Linked DNA regions of Macaca mulatta. The protein of the gene in region 3 interacts with the protein of the main gene of each other region in a pairwise test. Links are inferred from orthologs where the notes say so. Each region holds a gene or a part of one and is shown on either strand. Other genes may lie near its edges.

The links.
Region 1: the proteins of RBM41 (region 3) and RINT1 interact in binary tests that used the Homo sapiens proteins (3 or more experiments, as listed by UniProt). The two-hybrid records come from large-scale screens. The link is inferred for Macaca mulatta from reciprocal best matches to the Homo sapiens genes RBM41 and RINT1.
Region 2: the proteins of RBM41 (region 3) and RALYL interact in binary tests that used the Homo sapiens proteins (3 or more experiments, as listed by UniProt). The two-hybrid records come from large-scale screens. The link is inferred for Macaca mulatta from reciprocal best matches to the Homo sapiens genes RBM41 and RALYL.

What each region holds. Positions count from the first base shown.
Region 1 is NC_133408.1:145,133,575-145,137,223, forward strand, and holds part of RINT1 (RAD50-interacting protein 1), read left to right. Parts: intron 1-2,144; coding exon 2,145-2,329; intron 2,330-3,649. UniProt on the Homo sapiens protein: Involved in regulation of membrane traffic between the Golgi and the endoplasmic reticulum (ER); the function is proposed to depend on its association in the NRZ complex which is believed to play a role in SNARE assembly at the ER.
Region 2 is NC_133413.1:94,791,394-94,795,607, forward strand, and holds the start of RALYL (RNA-binding Raly-like protein), read left to right. Parts: upstream 1-1,337; 5' UTR 1,338-1,473; coding exon 1,474-1,489; intron 1,490-1,632; exon of another isoform or gene 1,633-1,710; intron 1,711-4,214.
Region 3 is NC_133426.1:113,911,891-113,916,062, reverse strand, and holds the start of RBM41 (RNA-binding protein 41), read left to right. Parts: upstream 1-1,260; 5' UTR 1,261-1,300; coding exon 1,301-1,308; exon of another isoform or gene 1,309-1,647; intron 1,648-3,052; exon of another isoform or gene 3,053-3,132; intron 3,133-3,985; coding exon 3,986-4,102; intron 4,103-4,172. UniProt on the Homo sapiens protein: May bind RNA.

The DNA.
Region 1 (3,649 bases), on a different chromosome or scaffold from region 3:
TTTCTGCCCCACCCTAACTGATCAGTGTTCTTTATAATGTCCCCCACCCTTAAGAGTTTCTTTGTAATTCTCCTCACCTTTGAGAATGACTTTGTGAGATCCACCCCCTGCCCCCAAAACATTGCTCTTAACTCCACCACCTATCCCAAAACCTATAAGAACCAATGATAATCCCACCACCCTTTTCTGACTCTCTTTTCGGACTCAGCCCGCCTGCACGCAGGTGAAATAAACAGCCATGTTGCTCGCACAAAGCCTGTTTGGTGGTCTCTTCACATGGACACGTGAAACAGTATACTGTTAATCTTTACATAAATAGTTGAACAATATCTTACATTTACATTTTGCACTTAGGCATATCATTATTTAGATATTAATATTAGTAAGTCCAATATGTACTGGACTTATTAAATGTCACAAAACAGGTAGTTTATTTGCCATGGAAAGAATCTCACTTCATACTATTTAGTGGTTGCATTAGTCATTCATTTTGATTTTTTCCTAGTAATTTGTTCTGTCATATTTTCTTTTTTCTGTTTCTGACAAAGATATCTTCGTACAATGACCTTTGAAGCTTAAAAACAATTTTTTTTTTTTTTTTTTGAGGCAGAGCCTCACTTTGTCGCCCAGGCGTGATCTCGGCTCATTGCAACCTCCGCCTCCCGTGTTCAAGCGATTCTTCTGCCCCAGCCTCCCGAGTAGCTGGGACTACAGGTGTGCACCACCATGCCCAGCTAATTTTGTATTTTTAGTAGAGACGGGTTTTCACCATATTGGCCAGGCTGGTCTTGAACTTCTGACTTCGTGATCTGCCTGCCTCAACCTCCCAAAGTGCTGGGATTACAGGCATGAGCCACCGTGCCCAGCTAAAACCTTTTTACTTTTTTTTTTTTTTTTTTTTTTTTTTTTTTGAGACGGAGTCTCGCTGTGTCTCCCAGGCTGGAGTGCAGTGGCGTGATCTCGGCTCACTGCAAGCTCCGCCTCCCGGGTTCACGCCATTCTCCCGCCTCAGCCTCCCAAGTAGCTGAGACTACAGGCGCCCGCCACCACGCCCGGCTAGTTTTTTGTATTTTTAGTAGAGACGGGGTTTCACCATGTTAGCCAGGATAGTCTCGATCTCCTGACCTCGTAATCCACCCGCCTCGGCCTCCCAAAGTGCTGGGATTACAGGCTTGAGCCACCGCGCCCGGCCTACTTTTTTTTTTTTTTTTTAAAGAGATGAAGTCTCACTCTGCAGTCCAGGCTGGAGTGTAGTGGTGCAATCATGGCTCACTGCAGCCTCGATCTCCCTGGCTGCTCAAGCAATCCTCCCACCTCAGCCCACCTGAGACTACAGGTGCGTGCCACCATGCCTGGCTAATTTTGTTAGATAAAGTCTTGCTTTGTTGCCCAGGCTGGTCTAGAACTCCTGGGCTCAAGTGATCCTCCTGCCTTGGCTTCCCACAGTGCTGGGATTACAGGTGTGAGCCACTGCGCCTGGCCTTTTAAAAAACATTTTAAAACAAGAGTCTTCCTTTTGATGTTGCTCTAGACCATACTACTGGTTCCTTACACATTTCAAAAAGGTATTACGCCTTGTCTATTGAAACCTGTGATTACTGGGTCGCACTTTAGGAATTTTTCCTTTAATACTTCCCTCAGCTCTTAAGCATTTTACAGTAGTTGGTTGATAGAGTGCTTTAGAGCTATTCATCTGGGCATTTGTATGTATGTGTTGTTCTTTAAATTATTAACTTTGTTTTGTTTTGGTTTTGTTTTTTGATACAGAGTCTCTGTCTCTCAGGCTGGAGTGCAGTGGCATGATCTTGGCTCACTGCAACCTCTGCCTCTTGGGTTCAAGGGATTCTCGTGCCTCAGCCTCCCGAATAGCTGGGACTACAGGCCTGTGCCCCCATGCCTGGCTAATTTTTGTATTTTTAGTAGAGACAGAGTTTTGCCACGTTTGCCAGGCTAGTCTCGAACTCCTGGCCTCAGGTGATGCACCTGCCTCAGCCTCCCAAAGTGCTGGGATCACAGGTGTGAGCCACCATGCCTGGCAAAATTATTAACTTTTGAAGGTAGATACACTGCTTTTACATGTTTTACATTTTCTTTAACTCCATAGTACATAGTGGCGTTGAGTAATTGTTATTCTTTTGTTTTAGGTGACATAAATGTTACAGTTCTTATTGGAAGTAAACAAGTCAGTGAAGGTACAGATAATGGTGATCTCCCTTCTTATGTGTCTGCATTCATAGAAAAGGAAGTTGGAAATGACCTTAAATCTTTAAAGAAACTTGATAAACTCATAGAACAGAGGACAGTAAGTAAAATGCAGTTAGAAGAACAGGTAAGTATTGAAACTCACTGACATAATTATCAATGGTATACTTTTTACAATATAATGTCTATTATATATAGAATTTTAAAGATACAGAATGTGATAAATAGTCTATTGTAAACTGTTTAAGAGGACTTAAGAACCTACAATATACTACCTATTTTACAAATTAGGTAAAAGACAAAGTTCCTACTGATATAGTTTGTCTTGAAAACATATTGAGACCTAACATTTTATATAGATTTTCACAGAGTGACTTTTTTTTCCCTTTCATTCTGTTTCTAGTGAACATACAGTGACTTTTTTTTTTGGGACAGAGTCTTGCTCTGTCGCCCAGGCTGGAGTGCAGTGGCCGGATCTCAGCTCACTGCAAGCTCCGCTTCCCGGGTTTACGCCATTCTCCTGCCTCAGCCTCTGGAGTAGCTGGGACCACAGGCGCCCGCCACCTCGCCCAGCTAGTTTTTTTGTATTTTTTAGTAGAGACGGGGTTTCACCATGTTAGCCAGGATGGTCTCGATCTCCTGACCTCGTGATCCACCCGTCTCGGCCTCCCAAAGTGCTGGGATTACAGGCTTGAGCCACCGCACCCAGCTTCATACAGTGACTTTTAAATTGCTTTTACAAGCAAATAATTTCATGGCATGTAAAAAAATATATACCATGGTGTAAACACCATCATTTCAATTTTTTTTTTTTTTGAGATGGAGTTTTGTTGCCCAGGCTGGAGTGCAATGGTGCCATCTTGGCTCACTGCAACCTCCGCCTCCTGGGTTCAAGCAGTTCTCCTGCCTTAGCTTCCCATGTGGCTGGGATTACAGGCATGTGTCACTCTGCCTGCCTAATTTTGTATTTTAGGTAGAGATGGGGTTTCAACATGTTGGCAAGGCTGGTCTTGAACTCGTGACCTCAGATGATCCACCTGCCTTGGCCTCCCTTAGTTCTGGGATTACAAATGTGAGCCACTGTACCTGACCACATTTCAAATTTTAATAAATACACACATAGGGAGAAGTATAAAGTGAAAAGAAGTATAACATAATGGTTATTTCTGGGTGGTTGGTTGACAAGTGGTGTATTTAAAAAATATTTCTAGGCCTGGCACAGTAGCTCACACCTGTAATCCCAGCACTTTGGGAGGCTGAGACGGGTGGATCACCTGAGGTCAGGAGTTTGAGACCAGCCCGACCCACATGGTGAAACCCCGTCTCTGCTGAAAGTACAACAAAAAAAATTAGCCAGGTGCGGTGGCAGGCACCTGTAATCCCAGCTACTCGGGAGGCTGAGGCAGGAGAATTGCTTGAACCCAGGAGGCGGAGGTTGCCGTGAGCT
Region 2 (4,214 bases), on a different chromosome or scaffold from region 3:
AAATCTCATTTTTATTACAACATTTTACTCCCGCTCGGTGAGTACCTTCTCAGTGGCATTCTTGTCCTATTCTTTTTTTTTGTCCTTTTTTTTGTTTTTTGTTTTTTGTTTTTGTTTTTGTTTTTGTTTTTTTCTTTTTTTCCACTTCTTTGATTATTGTTTATATTTGGGAAAGCTGGAGGAGCATGATTTTGAGCCTTTTCCTGAATCCAAGTTTTTCTAGCATGCGATCGTTCTGTAGACAAGGCGCTGTGTCTCGGAGTCCGCGGCGACCGTGCCCGCTGGGAGCGTCTCCCAAGTCCAGCAAAATGTGCAACTGGTTTTATGGAAAAAGCGATGTGAAGTATGGTGCCTATTTTTTTCCTTTGTAAAAATAAAAAGCATGTTTCTAACTCTTTTTTTTGCATACTCTTTTTCTGATAACATTTTTGTATAGGTGGGATTTTACGGCAGTGTTTACAAGTTTGTGGTCTTGCAATACTGGTGCAAACCACTGAGCAAAGACATTAATTTTATATTTTTGTGCCCTTTTTGGAAGCCGGTGAGAACAAATTCGTTTTTTTCCCTCCTGTTTTTGATACCCATTGATAACATGAAACTTTTCTTACAGCTGGTGACTGGGATCATTTTTAAGCAAAATACTTTTTTCCTCCTTTAAATTAACTATGACTTTTGCACATTTGACTTTTTTAAAAAAACCGAGATAATTTTATGATAGATATCCTGATATCTATATCTATATTGTCCCTTATTTCTCCCCCTTCCCTCCCCGTAAATCAATTTTCAAATGATGGCAGTGGAAGGTTTTTCTGGAAAAAAAAAAAAAAAAAAAGAAGTGCGGTTTGGTTTCCTTGTCAACGGAGGATGAAGTGAACAGCTGAGCAGCTCGCAGAGAGCAGGTACTTGGTCCCCTTGGAGGCGTTTCCCGGGTGTGCAGTGGCAACACTGGTCCTAGCAAAGAAATGTGTGAGTGTGAGTGTGTGTGTGTGTGTGTGTGTTTGCGCGCGCGCATCTCCGGGCAGTGTCCGCGCCGGAGGTGGGGAGAGCCGCGCCGGGAGCCAGGGAAAACCAAAGTCAGTTCCCGGCTTCAGGATCGTTTTCTAGATGTGCACAAAATACAGTCCCCTCCCCCCACCCCCCACCGTGAGCTGCGCCCAGGTCATCTCCCGGCTGGGCGGGTGGTGTCTGCGCTGCGGGCGGCGCCGGCCGGGCACTAGGTGGCCAGCGGGCCCTGTAAGTTCTCCGAGGGCCACTTGCACAGCAGGAGGGGCGAGGGCCGTGTACGTGGCGCAGGCCGTCGGGCCGGCTAGAGGGGACCCCCAGAGCACCCGGGAGATGGGGGAAGAAGCGGCAGAGACCGCATCTTCCGGAGGGACTGGCTCCAGGCCACGCGGGCCGGAGCTCGAGACATTTCCAGAGCCTTGAGGATGGCACCGGCCCCCGCACGCTCAACTCCTGCTCCTCCTCTTCGCAATGAGTAAACGACGCAGTAGGTCTTTCCCAGCCTATTTTGCTTTTCCAAAGGGCTTTGCTTTCTTAGTGGTGCTGTCTTTGGATCTTTTCTTTATGCCTGTTGTGTTGCGTTGGTTTTAAGTGCCTGCTGGTGTCGTCTTCCAGGGAATGGGGAAATAGTTTCTTATAAGATGGTCACTTGGGTTTAATGTTGAGGACGACGCTGTTAGTTTGCAGTAATGACCCTACAGCTCTAAGGTATAAAAATGCCCCTTATTTAAATTTTATTAGAGGGAGAGTTTTCCCTCTTTTTAACCACCTAATACTGGCTCTAAAGGTTTTCCCCTGAGAACTGTGTACAGGGCAGGAGTGAGGGGTTAGTGATAGAGGTGATGATTTCGTGTGTTGGTAGCATTGAAATACTCAGTGTTGAATGTATTCTATTATATTTTATGATTATCCTGTTACATGTTTTCAATATAATTTAGCATTACTTTTCAGAGATGGACCAGTTCGCAATAAAAAGCCTTTTCTGTATTTAACACTGTGACAGAATCTGCTGGAAATTTTTCTGTCCAAATAAATTTCGTAAAGGCATACATCTTAAAATCTGGAGAGTCACCATTATTTAAATACTTTGATTTTCTTACCTTTCCCCCCCTTAAATGAAAAGCTTAGCTTTAAATTATCATGTGTATGTAGTTTGGATTCTGTAAAATAAACATAAGGCAAATGAAACAACTTTTTACCTCTCGGATGAAGTTTTCTTCTGGGTAACTACAGAAATAAAAACTGACTCCAGCATACAGAGGGGCCCATGACAAAGGGGTTTATAACATACACTGGCTTTTTCAAGCAAATATTTCACTGTCTGTAACCTCAGTTTGTGGAATGAAAAGTTTTATGCCTTATTTTTTACTCTTTGTGGTCAAAAAGTAAGGAGTGCAAAGGGCCATTTATCTGTAGAAGATTAAAAGTTAGTGTAATATCTGGAAAGCTATATATATTTTTTATTCACAACTCATGCAAGTATCTCAAAAGTCTTTGGACATTTCATTGTATGTGAGGTATTTTGTTCTCACAGTAGCTTTTCCCTGTGAAGGAAATCCTCTTGCGTTTATATAAAGAAGATAGTTTATGTCACTGTCTGTGGACACCATATTTGATATCTTGATGTGTATAGTTCTAAGATTTGAAGCCAATATGATGGCACTAAGCCTGAAATTAGGATTTTCTTATTTTGTATAGTGAGCTAATTACTAAAATATATGGTTCAAACAGCTAACATATGGTTCAAATAGCTAACATAAAACATTTAAAAAGCCATTTGCAACATTCTGTGATTTTAAAAATCATTTAAATTATAACAATGTATGTACATAGAAGTGCTTATTTATTAAAAAGCAAGACAATTTGTGTGTATAATATATTTTTGTATGTTTTATGTGTTGTATGTCGTTTAGTTCTTTTAAGAGAGAGAGAGACAGAGCAAGCAAGCAAGAAAGAGCTTGAGTGATCGAACCTGCATTTTCATTAAGAGTATCAGTTGCTGCCCTAAGGTAGAGGTAGTTTGTGTCTTAAGATTGGACAAAACACTAGCTGTATTGTATGATCTTTCCCAATGAGATTGAAACCATTAATGGGACCAAAGACGATTTTAATGTGAGGACAGACAGGTAGTTGGGCTTTAATTTCTGTAACTTAAGACCGTTCTAAGAACCTTTGGTTATCTATGTTTTCATTTATTTAAGATTCATTTTTGATTATATTGTATACTTGTATTACATTTGTGCCTATTACATTCAAAATTTTCAAATTTCTTCCTGTGTGAATCATACTGGGAATTCTACAACTCTTAAACTGGCCACCTGTTTAGTTTTTGATTTAAAATTGTTGAAGGTAGTATCCTACATTTAGCACCGCCTACTGGCTTCTCGTGGAAAAAATACATTTTTTCATTCGCCAAGAAACCCACAGGGATTTACATCAATTTAATTGTGCAGATCTTTTCAACTGCTTACTGAGAGAGAAGGAGGGAAAAAAAGTTTGTATGCTGTAAGGAGAGAGGGTTTCCAGGGTAAAGGCAGGGACCGAGGGAAAGAAGACCCACAAACTAAATTGGCATTGGATCACTATCTGACCTCAAACATTTTACTGTCTAAACTGTGACAAAGAAATAATCACAAAATGAAAACTATTAAATTTTCTAGGACTTTCTATGGGATAATAAAATGTGGGTATTGTTTAAAATCTTGGATTACTAAATTAATTTTACAGTGTCTTTCTCAATCGATATAAAGAAAGAAAGTTCTAGTTGGAATTCTGTCTTGAGTGTGTGGTCTGTCGAATAATATTTAAATGAATAACTTTTCATCATTGAAGATTAACAATTAATTATTTTTATATGTATTTTTCATGGACATAAACAATCACGTAGCACCCTAATTTTTTTCTTAACATGCATCAAATAGTCGCACTGTGTTGTTGTATATACAAGGGGGAAAAGTTCCAAACATACAATTATAAAGACACATCCTTAGCCATAATAGATGCGTTACCTTTCTTAAAAATGATAGTTGGTTTATTTTCTCTAATTTGTATGAAAGTCTAGTGGCTGAAAGAGCTACTATAATAATACAAACAAATGATGCCTTCAGAATATAAAAATTATTAATTAGAAAAATAATTTGATATGCTAAACATTTTCTTCCTGGTTAAAAGAAATGTGAAATATTTGGATAGCTGTTTCTTAAATGCCGTAT
Region 3 (4,172 bases):
ATAGTTTGTTCTTGGATATTTTCATTTCTGTTTTTATAAACAATGTTGCAAGGAATGATAGTAGGTTAGAGGATATATAGTATTGAGGACTCTATTCATAACTGAATTGCTGCTTTAAAGGGAATGTACATTTATGATTTTAGTAGTATCCTCATTTGCCCCCAATAGATGTTGTACCAATTTATATTCCTACCACTAGTGTATTGAGAGCGCCTGTTTCCCCACAATCTCAATAAAACAAGTGTGTTATCAAACTTTTGGATCTTTCCCAGTCTGTTAGGTGAAAAATGGTACTTCAGTGTACTTTTAAAAACAAACTTTAAGTTTTAGAACAGTTTTAGTTACAGAAAGGTTGCATAGTACAAAGTTCCACATACCTGCAACTCAGTTTCCCTTGCATAACTCTGGTACATTTGTCACAGCTAACGAACCTTGTTATTAACTAAAGAGCATAGTTCATTCACATTTCCTTAGTTTTTACCTCATGTCTTTTTTTCTGTTCCAGGATCCCATTCAAGATACTACATTACTTTAGTCATCATGACTCCTTTGGTTCCTTTTGTCTGTGACAGATTCTCATGTTTTTGATGACCTTGCTATTTTTAAGGAGTACTGGTAGTCAGTGCACTTTAAAATTTGTGAGATTGGACATCTTTTCATACACTTAAAGACATTTGCATTTCCATTTCTCGGAACTAAGAGCCCATGCTTTTAACCACTATACTATACCTCTTTCTTGATTCACCATAATTATCAGTAAAACATTTGTGAACCTGAATACACACAGACTTCTGATTCTAAGTGTACAAAACTCTCAAGTCTCTGTTACAGATAGAGGAGAACCATTAATACAGGTGATATAGTCAGACTCGTGTCTGATGACTCTGGCTACATCATGAAGGATGAAGCAGAGGCTCTACTGGAAACGGTAGGTAGGCTGGATAAATCCTTGAAAGAAAAGCAGTGTTGATAAGAAGTTCAAAGGAAATTACAGAAGAGCCAGGAATTAGTGGTAATGAATGAGAGAATCAAAAAGTCAAAGGTGACTCGGTTTTTTGAGCTGGATATTTTGGGTCTTCTTTTGAACCTAGATGAGCAATTCAAAATCAATATTTGGACAATGTTCAGCATACCTGTCACTCGAGACCTACTTTCTCTTTCTGTCGCCATAGCTCTGTGCTACTACAATTCCCAGAGCCCCATGCTCCATCACAATCCCCTTAGAGTCCGCCGCGCGGAGTTCTGGGACTTGAGGTCCGCGGCCTATTTACGCAAGTTGGAGGTAGGGGCCTGTGGAAACATGAAGAGGTAAGGACTTGTCTGAAGAGCAGGCGGCAAGGGGAGCTCTCTTCTACTTTTTCTTTTGAAAATGGCTTCAATTGCTTTCTGGTTTGGGTATTGCACGTTCTCGGGATGCGATTTCGTGGGAGCGGGAAGACGACAAAGGAGACGGGAGGAGGGGAGACGGGCTGAACAGGCCTGCAGAGCGAAGGTCAGGAAGGGCTGCCACCGGGCCCGGCTGCTGTGGGTATGCCCTTCCGGCATGGGCCCCGGGAGCTGGCCAGGTGCTGCGGCCTCGTCGTTTCACACGGACCCAGCTAGGCAAAAGGGTTTGAGGCTGACCAATTCCCGGCGCCGGAGATGAAGGTACCTCGGGCCAACCCCTCCTCGTCCTCCCCTACCGCCACCTCCACCTGAGAAAGGCTCGGGGCCAGCGTATTTATTTGCAACGTCTGTGTGTTGGAGACTACTTGCTCGGGCCCCGAAACCATATAGCGCTTTCCAATCTTAAAGTAAAGGAGTGGTACTTTGTTTCTAAATGTAGAAGGAGAGCACCAAAGCGGTTGGATTTTTGGGATGGGGGGAGGGGAGGTGGAAGGCATTGCTGGGCTCAGTTCCCCTTACTGGTCCTGAGGTAAATGGCCGCTTGAGCCTAAACGGCCCGAGCCTCCCAACTATTGACAGGCTTAAATTAATTTTTAGATTCACGCTGCAAGTAGAATCATCACTCTGGAATAGTGCAGTGCGTTTAAAATTCTTACTGATACGTTTTCCTGCACTGTCAGTTCCTTGCATCTTTTAAAAAACCGTTTTTGACTTTCCCTGCCTGAAACTAACCTTTAACGTTTTTTTTTTTTTTTTTACAGTATCTCATCCATGCAAAATAATGTATAATGTATATATACAGCTTAAAGAATAATAAAGGTTCGCATCCACTGCAAGCTTCAGAAATAGGACATTGCCAGTCCCTTAGAAGTCTACTGTGTCTTTTCCCTCCCTTCGTTCCCCTCTGAGGTGACCACTATCCGGAATTTTGCGTTACTGATTCCCTTGCTTTTAAAAAAGCAAATAGTTTCTAGTACATATGAATTTATCCCTAAACAAAATGTTCCTAGTTTTATCTATTTTTCAACTTTATACAAATGGACACATATATTAATTTTTCCGTGACTTGCTTTATTTTTTTACTCAACATTTCTTTTTGAGATTCATGTGTGTTGATGTCTAGAAACTTTAAACTTAGTAAGAAGTTTTGGGATTCTAAGTAATAAAAAATTGAGATACTTAAAATGAATTTTTTAACACCTTGGGCCTAAAGATAATTTAGAATTTTCCAAAATAGGGCCAAGTCTTTCTAGAGCCTGGGAATATTGTTTTTAATTATGGGTGTTAGTTTTTCTAGACTTTATCATAACCTCACTAGGAAAGAGCTATTTTATAAGGAAAGTATTTGATATTTGGTTTTTTTCCTGGAGTTAATTCATTTTTTGTATTTTTTAAAAATAATCTGTTGTTTCATGCTTAAATGGCCCTGTTATTTCTTTACACTCTAATAAGAGTTTTTAATTACTTAGTTAGTAGATCATGCTAGCCATGGCCTAGATTTCTACACAGTGGTGCCCAGGCTATAAAAATGTTATGACCATCTTCATATTTCTTTCTGTATTCTCTCCTTGGAGATCTCCTCCTCAGAGCTCCAGATCTTGTTATCACAGATGACTCAAGATTTATACATTCAGCCTCGGACTCTCATCTCTCATTTTCCCTTTAGCCAGTCACTCATGCTGTCCCTTCAGAATCATGTATTTGAAGTACTCCTGATACTTCATGCTGGCGTTTCTATTGTAAAAGGTACTAGACTCAACATGACTAAAACAATACTGACTTTCCCTTTCCCAAATCATTTATTCCATCTAGAGCTTTGGCTTTCCTTCATTGGTACCATTGTTCTCTCAGTTACACAGACTGAAATTTTGGGATTATCTTTGACTTCCTTGCCTCTGCTTCCAAAAGTCCCCTCTCATCTAACCCTTTCTTTCCATTTTCACTATTACCATTTCAGTCTAGACCTTCATCACTGTATACTTCACTAGTTTCATAACTAGTTCTTGTTTCTTCCCTTTGAATCTCTATGGCATATTATAACCACATTCATCTGTCTAAACTATCACTTGCACTGTGTCACTTAACTGCTTGATAAATTACTACTTCTCATTATCCTTCAGTATGTATTACTGTCCCTTTGTACTCTCTTTTCCTGTTTTCCTTTTCTTCATCACACACTTTTCAATGTCAGCGTAAGAGTACCTTTCTGAAGTCTTCCTTTACCACCTTTTTCTACCAATTTTCTCTTCTGTGAATTTCTACTAATTTGGCCTATGCTTCTATGTGTTATTATTCTCTCCTCCCACCGCCGACACAACACGTACATACATGTTTTTTCTCCCTAAATAGATTGTGACCTTCTTAAGGATAGAGACTATGTCTTAAACACCTTCGACTTCCCTCAGTACCTAGCATAGCGCATTCTGTGTAGACAGGTATTTAGTAAGTGTTCATGGACTAAATGGTAAAGGGCAGTGAATTGTTGGAGAAGTGTCTTTGAATAAATGGGGTCTCTAATGGTAGATAATATAGATAAGGAATATATTTTGAGACTCACAGTCTCTACTGTTTTCTGTATATATTCTTATATCTACTCCAGGGTAAACAGCTGTGTGAAGAGTGATGAGCATGTCCTGGAGGAGCTGGAAACAGAAGGGGAGAGGCAGCTGAAAAGCCTCCTTCAGCATCAACTTGATACTTCTGTCTCCATTGAGGAGTAGGTATTGATTTTGCAAACGGAGAGTATCATAGAGTCTCACCTCCAGGTGACAGATCTCTCTTAAAGC